Linked DNA regions of Schizosaccharomyces pombe. The gene in region 2 interacts genetically with the main gene of each other region. Each region holds a gene or a part of one and is shown on either strand. Other genes may lie near its edges.

Evidence for each region.
Region 1: mutations in red5 (region 2) and tho4 impair growth when combined (synthetic growth defect), as found in Schizosaccharomyces pombe (one study listed by BioGRID).
Region 3: mutations in red5 (region 2) and ptr1 impair growth when combined (synthetic growth defect), as found in Schizosaccharomyces pombe (one study listed by BioGRID).

The regions. Positions count from the first base shown.
Region 1 is NC_003423.3:399,658-404,148, forward strand, and holds tho4 (THO complex subunit), read right to left. Parts: upstream 2,709-4,491; 5' UTR 2,693-2,708; coding exon 2,648-2,692; intron 2,607-2,647; coding exon 2,538-2,606; intron 2,485-2,537; coding exon 2,360-2,484; intron 2,343-2,359; exon of another isoform or gene 2,254-2,342; coding exon 2,187-2,253; exon of another isoform or gene 2,027-2,186; coding exon 1,508-2,026; 3' UTR 1,297-1,507; downstream 1-1,296. Other genes in the region: plg7 (1-alkyl-2-acetylglycerophosphocholine esterase), read right to left, coding at 1-1,027; gid9 (ubiquitin ligase complex subunit), read left to right, coding at 3,039-3,266, 3,329-3,850, 3,901-4,365.
Region 2 is NC_003423.3:1,045,623-1,054,115, reverse strand, and holds red5 (zinc finger CCCH domain-containing protein), read right to left. Parts: upstream 2,514-8,493; 5' UTR 2,037-2,513; coding exon 1,994-2,036; exon of another isoform or gene 1,920-1,993; intron 1,784-1,919; exon of another isoform or gene 1,778-1,783; coding exon 1,748-1,777; exon of another isoform or gene 1,703-1,747; coding exon 645-1,702; 3' UTR 501-644; downstream 1-500. Other genes in the region: Gtr1/RagA G protein Gtr1, read left to right, coding at 1-338; SPOM_SPBC337.11 (peptidase), read right to left, coding at 2,824-3,801; dre2 (anamorsin family protein), read left to right, coding at 4,686-5,552; Erg28 protein, read right to left, coding at 5,996-6,173, 6,238-6,328, 6,440-6,581.
Region 3 is NC_003424.3:5,206,830-5,212,435, reverse strand, and holds the start of ptr1 (E3 ubiquitin-protein ligase), read right to left. Parts: upstream 3,797-5,606; 5' UTR 3,661-3,796; coding exon 1-3,660. Other genes in the region: terminal uridylyltransferase Cid1, read right to left, coding at 4,301-5,133, 5,235-5,375, 5,480-5,606. UniProt on the Schizosaccharomyces pombe protein: Probable ubiquitin ligase protein involved in mRNA export. E3 ubiquitin ligase proteins mediate ubiquitination and subsequent proteasomal degradation of target proteins.

The sequences.
Region 1 (4,491 bases), 650 kb from region 2:
CGCCTGCGTTTTGGTTTTCTGAATCCTTGTTTACAAGCCAACTTTCGAGAGCTTGAAAATTGTCGACAAACCGACGAAATTCGTAAGATATAATCATGAGCGTAGGATACCTCATCGTACTCAAATGGAGCTGGCGTACGGGAAGCATCCATATATCGTATAAAATGGAGCACTTAAACTCAGTGTGAAACATATAGTCATTATATAAGGACTTGGTAGAAGAACCGGAAATGAATGCGCAAGTAGCGGCACCAAAAGAATGACCAGCAACAATCAATTCTCCTTGAGCGGTATTCAAATTACCCTTCATGGATTGGAAAACAGAATTATAAAAAGAAGAGTCCACAGAGCAAAGAAAGGGTAAGTTTTCGTCCGGAGTTCCAAGGTCATTGATATTTCGAATCATCTGGAGGGCTATTTGGATTTCCTGCTGTCGAAATAAAAGTCGTTCATTCTGAAGCACAACCGTAGCGTCTGCATAAAAGTCGCTTATCTCGCGATACTGAACAACGTACGGGGGTTCTTCAGGATGTAATGGATCACGCACTGTAGATATGATGGCCGAGTTATCTCTATGCTCCATGGCCAAGACGACGATACCATAGGAAGCGATTGTACCACATAACGAAGAATACACATTTCTCGAGCCAACCAATCCATGGCTGAAGATAAATACTGGCAGTTTCCCATTGTTCGGTGGATGAAACAACTCTCCTTTGTAGACGGGCAAAGCTAAGTTGGTCAAACCAGAAGCGAACGCACGAAGAAGCCACCAACGAAAACCTTTCGCAACTTCGGGTATACCCTCATGGAATGGTAACCAAAGCTCATCGGTGCGAGGCTCTACATCTTTTGTTGGGTCCAATGGATAAAAAATGCGTACTTTTACGGTTCTTAGTTTGTGTTCAATGGTTTTATATTCACATCGAAATTCCTCTGGAACACTCAGCTCTAAGACTAAAGACCCCACAGGCAAGGGACCACAGTAGGCAGGTAATTGCTTTTTCGAAGAAAATCCCAATCCCATTTCTACCTAACAAATAAGAATGTAATGTAGAAATATATAAATTTATTTTATTTTAAAGAATGAAAGATTGTGTCAAAAACGATTCAATCAAATTACAAGAGCACAGTGATGATGTATTGTTAATTGCTATGATCACTGTAGTAGGAATAGAATGGAATAATGCCAGAAACAAAAACAAAATATCTCTTTCGTTAACAAGCACTTATAAACATAAATAAAAAAAATAAAATTAATAAATTTTTGGCCTTGCAAGGTAATATGAATCTGTCTGCTGCAAATTTTAATTTTTGGTACGATTCGTACGATTGTGGTAGAAGAAGGAAGACGATGGAAATTGACGAGCATCTATATATAAAGTAAGGGGTTATGATGAAAGATGTCCTTTTAGCCGGTTCGTTTTTATAATGTACAAATCAAAGCAATTGACTCAATAATCAACTTTTGGCATAGGAAAAGGGTTACTTGCACAGCAATTCGAGCTTAAACCGCTTCCATTTGGAGGTCCATCTCCTCGGTCAAATTACTATCTTTTGAAGGAGCAACAGGCTCGTTTTTCTCATGAGCATTGGCTATTGACGGTGTGAAATCCTGTGATGAGTGAGATGACACAGTTGAAGCAGCGTGAAATGACATTGCGTATTCGTCAAGTTCTTTGTCTAAATCTTCGTGTGAAATTGAATTATTAGAAGACTTTTTTGAAGAAGAACGAAATGATCTGTCGTCTTTTTTTGAAGAACGGTTGAATCCTCGGTTCGAACGAGAAGACCGGCTTGGTTTGCGGGCTGAATGTGGCATGTCGGAAATCCGATCGAATAAGGAAGGTGGAGACTTTTTCGAAATTTGAATTTCGGAGCCCTTCAAGTTCGTAGATTGAAGCGTCTTCTGGGCATCTTCAGCATCTTGGGAAGTTTCAAAGTAAACATCGCAGGAGCCTTCAGAGCGACCTGCACGATCATAGTTCATAATCACGCGAATTGGATGGAAATTTTCAAACAAAGACTTAAGAAAAGGTTAGTTTATTAATAAAAAAAGCGATTCGAAATCGGAACAAAGCTCTACTTAGCTTGACAGGGAGATTTTTTGTCAGGTTCGTTTCATAATCTTCAATCGAAAACTAAAAGCGAGGCTTTTGAAAACATAGTAAACATATATCACTTACCAAAACATCTTTTTCCAAAACCTGATAATGTAAGTTTTCCACACGAACCCCAAATCGATTTTCTGAGCTAAGATTGCTGTGTTAGTATATAATGATAATAACAGTGCATGTAGACTAAGAGCTAATAGAGTAATAAAAAAGTTTACAGCTTATCTTATAAATTCAAAACATACTGTTGTCTTTTCTGTAGGTGAGTGGTCCTTGGATGAGCATCCTGCTCTTGATCCAAGTCATGCTGCCACGGGCCATCGTCTGGACTAGAGTTGTGTTCTTTTGATGCTCTTTTGAATTTGTAGGTCTTAAAAAGTAAAAAATTAGTAAATAAACACTTAATCCTCGAAATTAGCATACCAATCGCGATTTTTTGGAAATACGATTTTGAGATCCCCTTCGCCGACTGTGCTTGTGATCAAAACCATTCTAGGATTGTTAAAACAAATATCGAAAATAAAAAAATTTACCGTTCTTTCATTTATAATTTCGTCCAAGGACTTTTCCAGCGACATTTGAAAATTGGTACTTGGCACGAAAATGTCGACTGGTAAAAATTAACCCGGGGCATTCCAAAAAGGAGATTTCCATACCAATTGCAGATTTTCCTGACATAAATTAATATATGCACCTCTTTTTTTATTGTTTTTTAGCTCTCCTTATTTTTCATTCATCTTGCACTACGGTCCTAGAAAGTGTATCTTTCGCCAACAACCCATCGTCTTTCTGCAATTGCTGTTTTCCTTACATTTAAACAAATTCTTCTAATTACTTTCTTATTCTTAAAATATTCAATATTCTTTAGTTGATTTAAATTTTTGGGTCCATCTACCAATAGTTTGTTAGACTTTGCCTTCAAACATGAATTTTCGTCCAGAGCAGCAATATATACTTGAAAAGCCTGGTATTCTTCTCTCTTTTGAGCAATTGCGCATTAACTTCAAACACATTTTGCGGCACTTGGAGCATGAATCGCATGTGATCAATTCCACATTGACAACGTTGATCAGTCAAGAGAATGCATCAATGGATGAAAAAATAGAAAAAATAGATTCTCTCCTTTCAAGAGTCAGTACTGTAAAGAAGAAGGTAAGTTTGATTGATTCTTTTTTTGAGTTGGATATTTGTAACTTACATGGTTCTTTGTGTAGATGAAGCATTTGCATGATTGTGAAGCTCTGTTTATCAAGCAAACTAAGTCACGACTGTTGTTCATGAATCGTCTTCAAGGAATTCGTGACATGGAATCTGCGGATTTTTTAGATTGGTCAAGAGTCAGACTGAATCGTTTAGTTGCTGATTATATGATGGCGAATGGGTACCATGGGGCAGCTGCTCTACTTTGTAAAGACTCTCAGTTGGAGAATTTGGTTGATTTAGGCATATATAAGCGTTATCAGCTCATTCACGATTCCATTCTTCAACAGGAGCTCAAAGAGGTTTTGTCTTGGTGTTCGGAGCATCGAGCAATTTTAAAAAAAAATAATAGTACATTAGAGCTTGAGGTCCGACTACAGAGATTTATAGAATTAATAAAAAGTAAAAAACTTTGCCAAGCCATTGCATTCGCCAAAGCGCACTTCGGTACTTGGGCAAATGAACATCCTGCTCGACTACAGCTAGCGGCTGCCCTACTAGCTTTTCCTGAATTTACGAATGGTTCACCATATTCGGTAAGTTTACATTGAGAGACCTCTGCTCTTAGCTTATACTGACAAATTAGTTGCTTCTATCCGATGACCGATGGGAATATTTGGCTTCCTTGTTTACCAGCAATTTTACTGCCGTTCATAATATACCGTCTGTACCTCTTTTACATGCATTGTTAGCTGCTGGTCTATCTTCCCTGAAAACCCCGTTGTGTTATCTTGACGCGAATGATGATAATCCTTTAGCATTACAATCCCAGACTGTGAAACAATGCCCTGTATGTACGCCCTGCTTAAATGACCTTGGCAAAGCTCTTCCTTATGCCCATATTACTCAGTCTGCGATAGTGGATTCTCTGACAGGCGAAGGACTTGACAGCGACAATTGTCCTGTTGCTTTCCCGAACGGTCGAGTTTATGGTATCCAGAGCCTCATAAGTTGGAACGAAGCTAATGGGACTAGAGAAGGATTTCTTAGAGACCCTTATTCTGGCAAAGAGTTTCCATTCCAACTTCTTCGTAAAGTTTATGTGGTTTGATACTGTTTATTCTATAACGCATTTTCTGTGAGTTAAGGATTTACACTTTTTATGATGACGCTACGAGATTTATATGTTTATCTTTAATAATGATAGTAATTTATATTATTAAATTCACTTCCAGTA
Region 2 (8,493 bases):
AGGTAATATTATTTGAAAGAACAACATTTTTGGTTATTTCTTCTTATTCTTCTGAGTCCAATCCTGCCACTGATGCTCACAGGTTCGAAAAAATTAGCAATATTGTTAAGCAATTTAAACTCAGTTGTAGCAAAATGCAAGCTCAATTTACTACTTTTGAGCTTCGTGGTGGTAATTTCTCTGCATTCATTGTTCCATATACTGAGGACACATACATATTGGTGGTCATTGCTGATCCAGAAATCGAATCAGCAGTAACCCTTATGAACATTCAAAGTGCTCGACGATTTATAGAAGCTTCAAAGAGCGCTTCGGACGGTATTCAACTGCAACCTTAATTTTCCGTTTGATAGATCCATCAATCTTGTTCTTTTTTCTTTGATAATCGTAAAAAATGTGGATCTAATGTATTTTACTCTTGTTGCTGTAATTACCTAGCCTCTTAGTTTTAGTCTTTAAAAAATAATATTCTTTATCAACTAGTTGAAATCTTTTTCTATTTTCTTTCTAAATCTTATGATATTTTTTAAAAATTTATTGTATTCAATTAATAGAAAATTATAACTCATTATCATCAAAAGTTTAGACATTGCGTAACTACACGATAATTTAATTCTACAAGATCAAACTGCTAAACGAATTATCTAAACGGATATAAAATCCAAGTTGCTTTCTAAGGAATTACTTCCAATTTCCGATCCAGAGTCTTCTGGATTTATAGAACCAGCAGTCTTCGATATTGGAGCTTCTGTTTGTTCTGGTACATCAGCGGAAACAGCACCATGATAGAGAGAGCATTGTGGATTATTACACGAACCAAACATAGCATAATCGGTACACTGAAGAATATGTTGATTTTTGCAAGACGTCCCTAACTCACAGAAACCGTACTTGGCAAATTCAAAACATATAGGGGCATTTTCAGAGTAATGAATGTGCACATATCGACAATTTGGGTTATTGCATTTTCCTAATAGAAAATACCGGCATGCAGGAATTCGTCTGGGATCTAATTCATGTGACAAATTACAATCTTCTGCTTTATTACATCGACCATTCAAAAATTTCGGACATATCGTTTTGCGGGTGGGCTCATGCACGAATCTGCATGCTGCTCCCTTCCCACAAATTCCATTAGCATTATAATAACGGCAATAAACAGCTGAAGGTGAATTTCCAACCTCCTTGAGAAACCTCTTCTTTTTAAGAAGATAAGACTTATTATTCCAATATAAATATTTTGGACATTGTCCCTTAGCACTAACAAATTCCAACCACTTGGTATCAGATACACCGGTAATATACTGCAGTCCGTCAATAGTTACTAATTGTTTAGTACCATCGGATAATCTTTGCTGGATTTTATTTTCGGCTAAAGTTTTGTATTCTTTCTCAAGCTTGGCTCTGTAGCTCTCCAAATTAGCTTTTCTCGCTTGCAAATCATGTTCAAGAATATTTTTTTTAATCAGTTGCATATGTCTGTTTTTCCGTGATACATAGTCAGATGTGGATTGTTTTTCAGGTTCCTTATTGGCATCGTCTGCATTCGATGATGTTGACGGTATCACATATGGAGGGCTAGCAGCTGTCGATTTCGAGCGATTGGATTTATTGAGGATAAAAGAATAGTTCCTAGAAACAGAATAGGGATACGAACGAGTATTCTTATTTGCTTTAGCGGCATCTAAAACCTGGGTAGGTTCTGCTAAAATCATGAGTCAAAGTTCCTCATAAATGGGCATCTTACCTTTTTCATTTTTATATTGATTGATAGCACCTAAAGGTTAGTTATATTATTACTGAGCGTTTCATAAATAAAGAAACATAAAGATATTTTTTTGCATAAAATCTGTCTCCTTGAAAATCCTAATTATTCATTGGTTTCAAAAACCAAAAAGCTCATTAGTTAAACCAATCCAACTTCAAAGTCGACCAAATTTATTCTGTATAACAGACAATCAAAAGACGTTAATACAATTTAATCAAAACGTACCAGCTAATGAAGCAATATTTTCCAGCAATTGTTGCTCGTTCATTGTGAATGCCGCCTAGAACTAATAAATAAATATAACGAACGGATGTTTTTTTTTGTAAAATAAACCAACAGCTTTAATGTCTTTTATTGAACTTGAATCGTCCAAGTATTTCCTGTTTTAAACCACCACTTGATATATTATGCAAAAGCTCTTGTTTGCTCAATGTTTTAAAATGAGTGGTTTTCCACTTTAATGGTCTTTCGTTCTATAAGTGAATCTTTTAAAAAAAAGTCTTTGAGAACCTTTCCTTAAACAAAACTGTTTAAGTTAAATGCCCAAATAATTGAACGACAACGATTAACCAAGGTCTTTACTTTTTTTAACGACAGGCAAGAGCTTATATGTTTGACAATGACCTTTTTGAAAACGTCGTTACAAAAACAAAAAAACTATGAAAAAGTCCTTGAAATAAATTCTTACAGTAATTAGATGTGGTAAGGTATTTCTAAGTCGACAGATTAGAGTAGCGTAGTCGGTGGCACCAACAATGTCGGAGTAGCATCAATGTAATTACCGACGCTTTATAACGATATTTTAAAAAAAACTATCTTAAATTATCAGTATTAAAACAATATTGCTTTAATTATAATGAAATCCTTTTTACTTAATTTAAATAATCCTTCTTTAAAGCGTAGCTCAAAATTGTTTTTTTCATTAACGAATAGATACCTCTTTATAATAATAATAATAATAAACGATATGAAAGATCAAAGCAAATATTTATAGTTCTTTTAAAATTTACTGATTATACAGAAAAAACAATTTGGTAAGTCTGTATTTCGGACGCTTAATTTGTGCTCATAGTAATCACAAACTTTGTAGAACATTCATTCATAAGTTTTCTATATGAATTTATACATTCATCAGTAAGAGATGTTTCAGCAATTTTCTTGTTTAATACCTTATATTTCCCTGCTTCAAACTTGGCGACCATATTCTTTAATAGTGAGTTTGATTCCACTAACGAAAGTAAGAGAGAATTGCACCCAATAATCTTCAGATTTTTGCGATATATTTGTTTCATGTCATACGAAAATTCTATACTCCCTTGCTTAGGTGCGGAAATATAAGACAACCTTCCCCCTATTCCCAATTGATTGAGAGCCGATTTCATCAACAAAGGATCGCCCACCGTATCGATTACCACATCAACTTTCTCAACCAATTCGTGGACCCTTTTTAATTCCGGATCCACCACTGTATTGATATCGGTTGAGCCGCTCCTAGACACTGTGATTACCTTACATCCCCAATCCTCTGCTATTTGACAAACAGCCGACCCGACAGCACCTAAGGCTCCAACCACTAGTACTATATCGCTGCCTTTGGTTTCTCCTCTGCTTAAAGCCAAATAAGCGGTTGTAAAAGGGACACCGACTGATGCTGCCTCAGTAAACGACAAATTGCTTGGCATACGAACAGCTGCTTTTTCCGGTATTATGCAGTATTCAGCATGAGTACCGTCTTTAGTGAATGATAGTTCGCTACCGCTCGTTCCAAACACTCGAGTTCCTACTAAATGAGATGCGCCACTAATTACAGTACCAGCATAATCTCGCCCAACGATTCGAGGATAAACAGTATACGGGAAACCCCCTGTTGCGTTCATTAGATCACTGGGGTTGATGGCAGCAGCTTCAATTTTTACAAGCAACTCTCCATTCTTTGGTTGGGGAATAGGAACACTCTGAATTTCAATACCCAAACAACCTGGCTTCGGTTTTTTTAACATTCGTAACGCCTTCATCATTTGATAGTATTGCATTTAATAAATCCTTCTTTTTGAAGTAAAAAACCCTCTAGTCTTACATAAAGTTATCATTATTATCTTATACAGTCGATATGTAATTTGTATATGACACCCACGGCAAAATACGAATATCAAATTTCTCGAAAAAACACAGGGCTAAAAATATTTGACTATTAAATGTAAATTACCAAAAAAATGGTTCTCAAAGCTGGAAATAGTTGCGTGCAGCCAAAAGTACAACACAAGTTTTCACTTGACCCGACATTTCAGTCGATTAGCCGGTGATTCCGTTGACTTGTTCGATCAGTATGAACAAAGTAGAAATCAATGACTTACCGAAATGCGCAGTACTTCATAAGCATAAATAACGATATATAAGAAAACCACAATATTGTTTTAGCTATATGCCTTACAGTGCCACATGATTGGATTCTATTCATTTTAAGACATGCTGACGGATTACCAATCAACAGGTTAAATTTACAGCGTCGCCACTTGTGGTAAATAGAATTTAACAAGAACAAAATACTAATCATTCCTTTTTTTTATTGTTTGAGTATTATTTCTCTATAATTGATCATTTCATAACGTTAAGGCGTGGAAATTTTCATATTATATCTACAGATAACTTTTTTGTTTATCCGTTGATTAAAAGAAAAATTTTACCACTTTCAGACCGGTAAAAGGAAGACAGTTTTTGACTTTTTTCTAATTGTCTGTACATACGTTACAACGATCTAGATTTCGTTTTTATTTTTATTATTGATAGTGTTTTTTGTATTCGTTGGTGGGTTTACTTACCAATTGCTAAGGGTTTCATTTCGCTGAAACGTGTAATAATATAATAATTTTAATTACTTTTTTTGCTTTTGTTTAAGCTGTTAATATCTTCTCTCAATATGTCATCTTCTGTCCTTGTTTTGACGTCTCCCGGCTTTGCTTCAAAAGAGGAGTCTTTGAAAAAAGTTTTTGACCTTATCGATAATGGTGCTTCTAGAGAGTTGCAAATGATAGATCGCGTCCAATCTCAACTTGTTAATTTACCCATCAATCGATATGATTCAGTTATTGCTGCCATTGATGATGGTGCATGGTCTTCAACTCTAGGACCTATACTTTCACAAGCCTTTGCATCAGTACATCCTGGAGGAACACTTCGTGTTTATTCTACTGCCGATGAAGCAGACGAGTCATTTGAAATGACAGCTTTGCTATCTGGATGGCTTATTGAATCAAAGAGTCCTTGGATTTTATCTCGTCCCAATCAGGTGGAAGCAGTTCCCATTAAATTATCAAACAAAAATGGTCAATCAGCGAGCAAAAACAAAATTCTTGATTTCTTAAAATCTGACAAGGAAAACCTTATTAGTGGTGATGATGATCAAGAACTCATCGATGAAGATGAGTTGTTAGACGAAAGTGCCCACGATAATGTTTTAAAAGTGCCCGAGTGCAAACCTGAACCTGGAAAGAAAAAGCGTGCTTGCAAGAACTGTACCTGTGGATTACGTGAAATGGAAGAACACGAGTCTTCCAAGACATCCGCACAGTTAGAAGCTGTAAAACTTACAGACACCACCGAAGTTGATTTCACCGAGAAGCTCAAGAGTAAAAATGCCGTCTCAAGTTGCGGAAATTGCTATCTTGGCGACGCTTTTCGTTGTAGTGGATGCCCGTATATAGGAATGCCTGCCTTCAATCCCGGTGACACAGTTATATTGGCTGAAAATCGTGACAAGATGTCCTGGATGGCTGATGACATTTAATTTATGGTTATCTTGTAATTGAGATGTTCCGGTTTATGAATGACCGTACTGCAGTTCTATTGCCTAATTGAAACTAAAGTTAAATACTTTTTTTTGTTAACATTTGTTTTTAATTCCGATATTTGCTATGATTTTGTAAGTTCTGGTTAAGTTTGAACTAACAATGTTGCAAATTGAAGTTGAAGTGGTTATATTACTATTGGTTTTTAGTCCCTACTATGTCTTTGGGCAAAGAAATCGAAAAACAAGACACCATGCTTTTCCTTAATTTTTTTAAAATCATCAACATTCTAGAATCTAAACTAAAAATTTGAAGAATGGTTTAGAAATAGAACCATTGCATTAAAGCCCGAAGGCATAAAAATGATGGATTTATGTTGATTCTTTTTCTTCTCTTCTCTCCAAGCAATATAGTATACGTAAAATGGGGGAGTAAAAAAAGGTTAAGCAGCGATCCCCAAAATCGAGGCTTTTTCTTTCGCCATAAACCAAATGCTAACGGTCGATACCACAATTGGACTCAACAATCCTGGTCCCAAGTTAGTAGTACGGAACAAAAGCCATTCAGATAGGAAATGAAAGCAGGCTAAATAATATGTGCATTGGCATAGAAAATACACACTAATAGAAGTTAGACAATATCAGATGATTTTGGAAATTGAATGTTTGATTTGATTCAACATACTCTGGATTTGTTATATGATATGCGCAATAAAAACGCACTATGGCACTTAGTAATGTCCAGATGCCAAAAGTACGACCTTGTAATCCATTGACTACAGATATAAAGTCAGCAAAAAATAATCAGCTAATAAAAAAAAGCATCATTAAAGAGCTTATTATGTGTATTATAAATCAATTAAACTCGTAAAAACCATGATTCTTACCTTCGTTAGTGTTGCTATATACACGCTTAGTCAACTTTGGAGTCAAAAACGATTGAACGGTATTGAAAAGCGCCGCTACACTGACCACAACATTCCATTTGGCAACTAAACTATCTGGGAGCATAGCTAGTATTTGAGACATTGTTATTTCTTAGGATATTAAATTTCTAGTAGTGTGTAGTTGAGGGATTACAGTACTAAATTGGAGAAAAGCGACTGTGAGCAATTTATAACATTGACAGGTTTTGCACTAACTTAATTAGTAAAATCGATGCGAACATTATGTTTTATATCGCTATGCTAAGACAGATTTAGTATAATAAAACAACAAAGTAAGCTTATTTTCAATGTAAAAAGAGATGCTTTTTTACTGAGGTTTCAAAGAGATTTCTTTTTCAGTGCTGATTTCGGGTTGGGATTTACCGGTGAGAATATCCTTACAACTAGGTTATTGCATAAGTAACGTCCCGGTGAATTGTTGACATTGTACGATTGTGATAACTGGGGCTGACTTAGCACATTAGCAATTAGAAAGGTAGTAAGAGATCCTCGTCTACTTATATTTTCGTATATCTTAGTAAAAACACGAAAGGATTCTACCAAGGATCAAATATACATAGCCGAATTGCTGTCCAAAAAATGGCAAGAATGTATACTTTTATTAAGTACCGGCTTTACTATTTTTAATTTACATAACTTGATAGTAGAGTTTTCAAAAATCCAAGTAACCTTAGAACCATAATCAGGAGAATTAATTATTTTAATGATCTTATTGTAAGTAACCCACCGTTTGTACGGAAACACTTATGTAAATACTAGGGATGGGTTGATACTACTTGTACAATTGTAACCTGGAACAGCTCAAAGTAGATGAGTATTCTAATATTTCAGGTTGGCGGTTAACTTATTGATTAGCAAAATATATTATACTCCGTGTGCTACATAAGAAATTAGTAGAATTCCATATGAATAAGAAATCTGCGTTTTAAAACCTAACATCTATATAAATTATTCATTAAAAAAGCATTAAACTATGCTAATTATCGCTAAGAAGCATGAGCGCAGCTTACTCCAAATTCCCAGTCACAAACCTGACCCACATCAAAAAAAAGTATAAACATCAAAATTTACAAAGAGCACATATATCGTAGACCATGGTATCTTTCGGATTATGCTTCTAATGATGATAAACAATACTTTAAGGATGTAAAACGATTTTTAATAATCGTTCGTATTGTCGACTTTTTTTTTATTTTCGTCTTTTAAATCGCACATGATTTTATAGTCTTGTCATTATTTTCTCATTCAACCACAAAGGAAAGCACATTTATGAGCAAATTTCATTCAAATATTGAAATTGGAAAAGATAATGTTGTTTAATTGTTCTTCAAATTGTGGATATCTATTTGAACGGCCTAGGACTAGAAAAATGTTAATTCCTCCTTTGTAGCGACACATCTACACTGAAATGGACAGTAACTCTGCTGATAGAAGTTAGTCGTTATCTTTCCTATTCGTACCAAGCATCTTATCTTTTAAGACATGTTTACTTTTTATTCGTTCGTTTTAAAGTACAACAATATGCTTATTTGACATGGATTTATCAACAGCTACCCAACTACCTATGCACTAGAAATATGTCTCCCAAAGTGTCTGTGCGTAAACAGATATTTATCCTATTTCATTTTGTACTGTTGCATCGTTTCCTCTCGTACTAGTCGTTTTGCAAAGCCACGTTAATGATCGATATGTTTGAATTGCAGACACCATTTCACATTGCGATAAGGGGGATTCCTGTATTTTTTTGGTCACTGACTAATTTTGACACCGAGGTGACATCATATCGTCTAGGAATCTTTGTTGCGTACACAGTAGACAACATGGCATACGAACGAATCGATGCAATGTATATTTATAAACACAACAAAAATTTGAGTGCATATGCTTCAATTTCTATACATAAATGTATTTAGAAAAAACTATCGTATTGGAGATTGTATTTAAATTTTGATTTTATGAATGAGTGAAAAATGAGGAGCAGTGGCGACGTCTAT
Region 3 (5,606 bases), on a different chromosome or scaffold from region 2:
CATCTCAAACTGTGAAACAATGTCATTAGGCATCTCTTTGAGAAGGTAAGCTTGAAAAATTCCATTTTCATGTTTTTCGGATTCTGGCATATCTGTTACAGAGGCATTTGTTTCTTCTAATGAAAAATTGCTATTCGTGTTATCATCCGTCACAACATCCAGTGGTTCTTTAATATCACCATTAGCTATCGATGTCCGCAAATTGTTAATCGAATCCACTACATTTTTGATACCATCTTCAAATTGGTAACAGTTGGACAAAACATTCGTCAATAATGCTCTTGTGATATAAGGAAGGTGTAAGTCGTCAGCAGATCGCCATAAATGCAAAACTGAAATAAAAATTCGGGCATGCAAAACGTGCATAAGTTTTGAACCGCTGTTGTTAAAATCAGTCATATCGAACTCGGATTTTAAAGCCATGTTTAACGTTTTACTTGTTTCGGACATAAAGTCAGCACTTGTGAATACAAGAATCAAGTTCAATAAGGTGGATGAAAGAGCAAGCAAAACACGATTACTCTTGGAAAGAGGATCTCTATCGGACAAACGAAAAAAGCCAGAAACGGTCTCATTTAAGCTAATCAATACATCCATTGTTCGACACCCACCCAGTAGACGACTGATCAGAAGCACAAGAGTAACCTTTGAATCATCTTCTCGAATTATGGATGAAGCACCTAAAACAAAAATTAAGGAGGCCTCTAAAGAAGCAATACTGAGGGATTGCGGATGAGATGTGATTTGCTTGCTTGATAAGTTAATAAGTTCATCAACAACAAGAGCGATATTACTACCAAGTTTATGAATCATTTTGTATTCATTGAAATCTTGTACGCTTGTATTTCCTAAAGCTCGAGTTAATGAAGTGAAAAACTTAGATACTCCATAAGCAATTTGAGAAAAATTCGAACGTATATTCTGAAATTTACAAAAAGATGAATCTTGTGTTAATTCCTTTTTCTTTGTCTCAAACTTTTCTTTTTCATCTTTGTCGGTAACGATGGTAGTCAAGGAGTCACTGCAAAGAACAAAGTCATCAGAAACACCTAAACATATATGTATGTCCAATGATGTTGCAATGCTTTTAATATTACATAAAATATCAAAAATACCAGCATAACGTGAAGGACTAATAAAAAGTTGAACTAATGGAAGATTTCCAGCTTTTTTCAATGCAGCATGGGAAGAAAATAGCTCAGCGAAAATAGTCAGCAAATTCCCAACGATTGAGAAATGTAGAAAATTATTTGCATCTTCGTGGCCCATATTTGAGTCCTTTATCAATGAAATCGTGGCTTGTTTCAGTGAGACTATAGTAAACTCAGTAATGCCTTCTTCACATCGAGTAATTATACAGTCTAGCAAGGGCCGAAAGACCTCTGGAGCATCAAAATCAACTGCATGATGTAAAAGAACAAAAAACGAGTTGAAGGCAGAAGAGTCTATAAATCCAAAAGCCAGTACGGGATGTTGAATGAGATTGAGCACGTGCGACACAATCCCTTTGGATATTAAATACCTTGCGTGACCTTCGTTTGTAATAATATTTTCAAGAAAACTAGAAAATGTTTCAAGATACAACAAATAAGGATATTCTTTGGCATTTATATATTGAAATGGATTGAAATTGTCAAGAAGAGCGGAAACCTGGTCACAGGCTTTAAATATCATCTTCACAATTGGATCTTTAAGGGAGGGTTGATGCCGCATAAGTTCGTCGATGTAAGTACCAAGGATGGCAGCATTATCGCTTGATATAAGTGACTTACAATGATTTAACGATGTGAATATTGAGAAAAGTTGTGGGATAGGATTTTTCTCTAAAAATAAATCAAACCCTTGAGAGTTCAAGCATATTGCACCAAAAGCTAAAGGAATTGATGTTATTGCATCAGAAGAATTGAGTATTTTCCGATTGACAGCATCCAAAAATGCATGTGACAATTTCTTTTCATGAATAATTCCATAGCAAGTAGGCTCATTATGGATGAATGTTGACATTATATTAGTAGTAGATGCGAATAAGTTGGAGCCATAGACTTCATGGTGCTCTAGCAGAAAAGCAAGGGATGAAATGAGAGAAGAATCAATTAAATTACGAAGCTCAACGACAGAGCCACCTGATTGAATTAGATGTAACACAAACTTGAGTAAATTTTTTAGAAGGAAGTAACGGTCATATGAAATGGCATAATCCATATTTAAAACAATCTCTGGGTTACCTTTTCCAGATTTAATATCTTGAAGTCCAGCCTCAAGCTCGTATTGAACACGGTCAACCAGCATATCCAATCCTTTAGACTCAGAAAAATCTGGGAATGCCATAGAGTAACCATCGATGAGATGGTCCAACATGACAATCGATCTTGCTACAACATAAGTAGCCTGTGGAGTCTTCACAGACAGATGATAACCCAAAAGAGAAGTGAGACCTGCAGAACAGGCCATGTTACCGCCAAGAGGCGATGAAGTCATAAATTGAAGGAAGTCATAAAAACTATCAACATATTCTCTCTCGTAATAGAAATTCGGGTTTTCTAAGTTTTTAGAAAAATCACGAACGAGATTCATCATTAATCCGTAACTAACAGATACATTTAAAGATGCCAGTACAGATGGAATCATACTCTTCTTAAAGAAGAAAGCTTTAAAACATTCAAAACAAACAGCTTTAAAGTTTTGAGGAAGATCCACATCTGGAGAAACCAAATTAGCTAAATGGGTGGTGATTTCCGGATCGGCGATTAAAAATCTTGTTTGAACTGCCTGAGAATGAGCATAAACAAGATTAGAAAGAGCCAATAATCCGATACGAATCATCAAGCGCCGTCTATTTATATCATAAAGATTTTGACGTAACATTAGTGAAACAAGGAGATCAAATGAATATTGTTCAGGAATCTGATTATCGTGCAAAGTTTTCACAAGAAGCTCTTCTATAGGCTTTCCAAGAACTTTATTATATGGTAATTTTAAAATCGAAAATCCTTCAGAATTTGGTTGACTTGCAGATGAAAAATCTTTTGATGGAGAGCTTTTATAATAAGAAAGCTCCAAAGAACACCATTCTTGCGGGATCTCATTTGAAAATAACAAAGTCTCGTAATTTTGTGAAAATCCGGTTTTCATTGCATCTTGAGGAAGAAACATTAAAAAGCGAAATAACCGATCTTGTGAAAGAGAAAACAGCTGCTTTCCTCGCTTTGAAATCGTTGCTTTTTGTACAATATGAAGAAGCAAGGCTAATGTAGAATCTATAACTTCGAGCACAGAGCTATTTAATAAATACTCTAGATAAACAGTAGAGTTATATATGGAGCGATTCGCGCAATGACTAAGCAGATGCGCCGAAAAGCTCAGGATCTCTAACAAGATACTCAAAGTGTCAGAATCAAAAGGTTTTGTCTGAACTTTATCCTTTAAAGAATAATGTTCAACAATACGTTCCAGAATAGCATCAAACCTATTCAAAACTGGGACCCATGAATACAAATCGCCACGAGGATATGGCCAATCGTTTTTTCTGAATTCTGAACAAAGAGAGACAAGACCCAAGTCTGAAGTTACTTCTTCATTTTGAGCTTGTCTAATAAACTCAGCAACCCTAGGAGGTGGCTGAGAATATTGATTTTTAGGAGGACTTTTCGTTATCCTCATTTTTGCTTAAAGCATCAAAATCTCGAAATATAGTTAAATACCCACCTTGAGAAAAATGCCAAATTTATTATGTTCTAATGAATTGTACCAACGAACAGAAGGGAAATAGACCCAGCTGAATGTTTGGTAAAAGTTCAAATGTGATGGTTAGCATGCTGCAATGCGTCTACAAATTTGGAAACAATATGAATTTTACGAAAAAATTTGATAAGCTAAAATAATTTCTGTACGCTATAGTAATTAAGAAAAAAAGATAAACTCTTTATATGTGTTTACGCACATTACCGAGGCTAAACGAAAAAATATTTGGTTATTTCCGTTCAATTTAAAGAAATTGATATAAACAATAGCTTAGCATTTGCAATAAATAATTATTAATTATAGATCTATGAAAATTTTTTGGACATTGATGTTAACTATGATGAGCCTATTTTCTCACCAACAAGTAGACTATTAACAAGAGGTTGTACATAAAACAAAGGGGGAAAGGTATTAGAAACAAGAGGTCAAAATTTTTAAAGAAAAATAAAAACATTCCATGCTTTCAAAAGTAAGCAAATAAAAGCAGAGTAATAATGAATGATTACTATGAATCTAGGGGAATGAATATTGATGCGCTTTTTAAGACTTCTTTGTAAAATCACTCAGAATTGTCACCATCGGTTTCATTCAACAATTTTTTGTTAGATTGTTCATCCGTTTTTTTCTGGCGACGAGGCGGAATTGGGGCCTCCTCAAATAATGAATCATAAGGGATAGGATATGAGCGAGAATTGAGCAACCTTGAAGCGGCCATAAATTCCCCTCGAATCCGATACAATCCAGAACTGCTAACTGTCCTACCCACATTATGTGAAATCTCGAAAGGATCTTCAATCGCAAGAATATACCTGTCTTTTATAATTTGATCAGCCGATCCAGTGTGTTCAGTAGCTGAAGTCCATCCTTTCTCTTGCTTTGTGAGGTAACCGTCTGGTCTACGAAAAGTTACTACCTTTTCCCGTGGCTCGAACTTATAAGCATAAAATCTAAAAAAGCCATGAAGTAAACTTCCCAATGAGCTATAATTTTGGGAAGGAGGGATATCTTCCAGTTTATCGTCAAAACCAACGTCAAATCCATCAACTATCTTTTCTTGTTTCAAAGGTGACAACAGTAAATTAGGAAAGACGGGAGGCTTGATAACGTGAATCAGATAGTAAAGAACCATTAGGACGTAACCATAACTGGAAAGAGTTCCAAAGTAAGGAGAGTTGATTTGCTTCCGTTTGGCCCAATGCTTAACAAGAAGGACCATGGGTTTTAGGCGAGCATCTAATTTTGTATATGAAGAAAGTAAAAGCGTATTATGAATAGCTAGACGATTGTTAAATCCAATATCACATTGAAACGAAGCCCCAAATCCATTTTTCGTATCAGATGTTAATTTGATAATGGGAATTCTTGCCCTTTGTAAAAATTTTCCTTCAAATCCTGTCGATAGTTAGTTATGCGAGCCAACTGGAAAGGAAAAAAACAATATTCAGAGATAGTTTGTCTAAACTGAATAACTTTTAATGAATAATTATACTTACCTTCAGCTATAAGCTCTTCATAGAATTGGAGCGCAATTGTATCACTTTGGACGCGCGAATCCATAAGCACGCACAAATCCATATCCGAATTTTTAAGTGCTAAACCAGATTCCAAACTTCCAAAGGCTACCAATTCAGCATCTAAGTCACATATCATTAGAATTGGACATTATCAATATTTGGTAAAGTCTCCACTCTCGTTAACTACATAATTGAGACAGTCCTAAATTTATATTCAAACATACCAGGGGATATTCGTTTAAGGCATAGCCGAAGTGTATCTAATGCCGCTCTCTTTTCTTTAAACTCTTTGTCACTAATTTTAATCTCATTATACACTTCATAGCAAAACTTCGTAAATTCCTTGTGCGA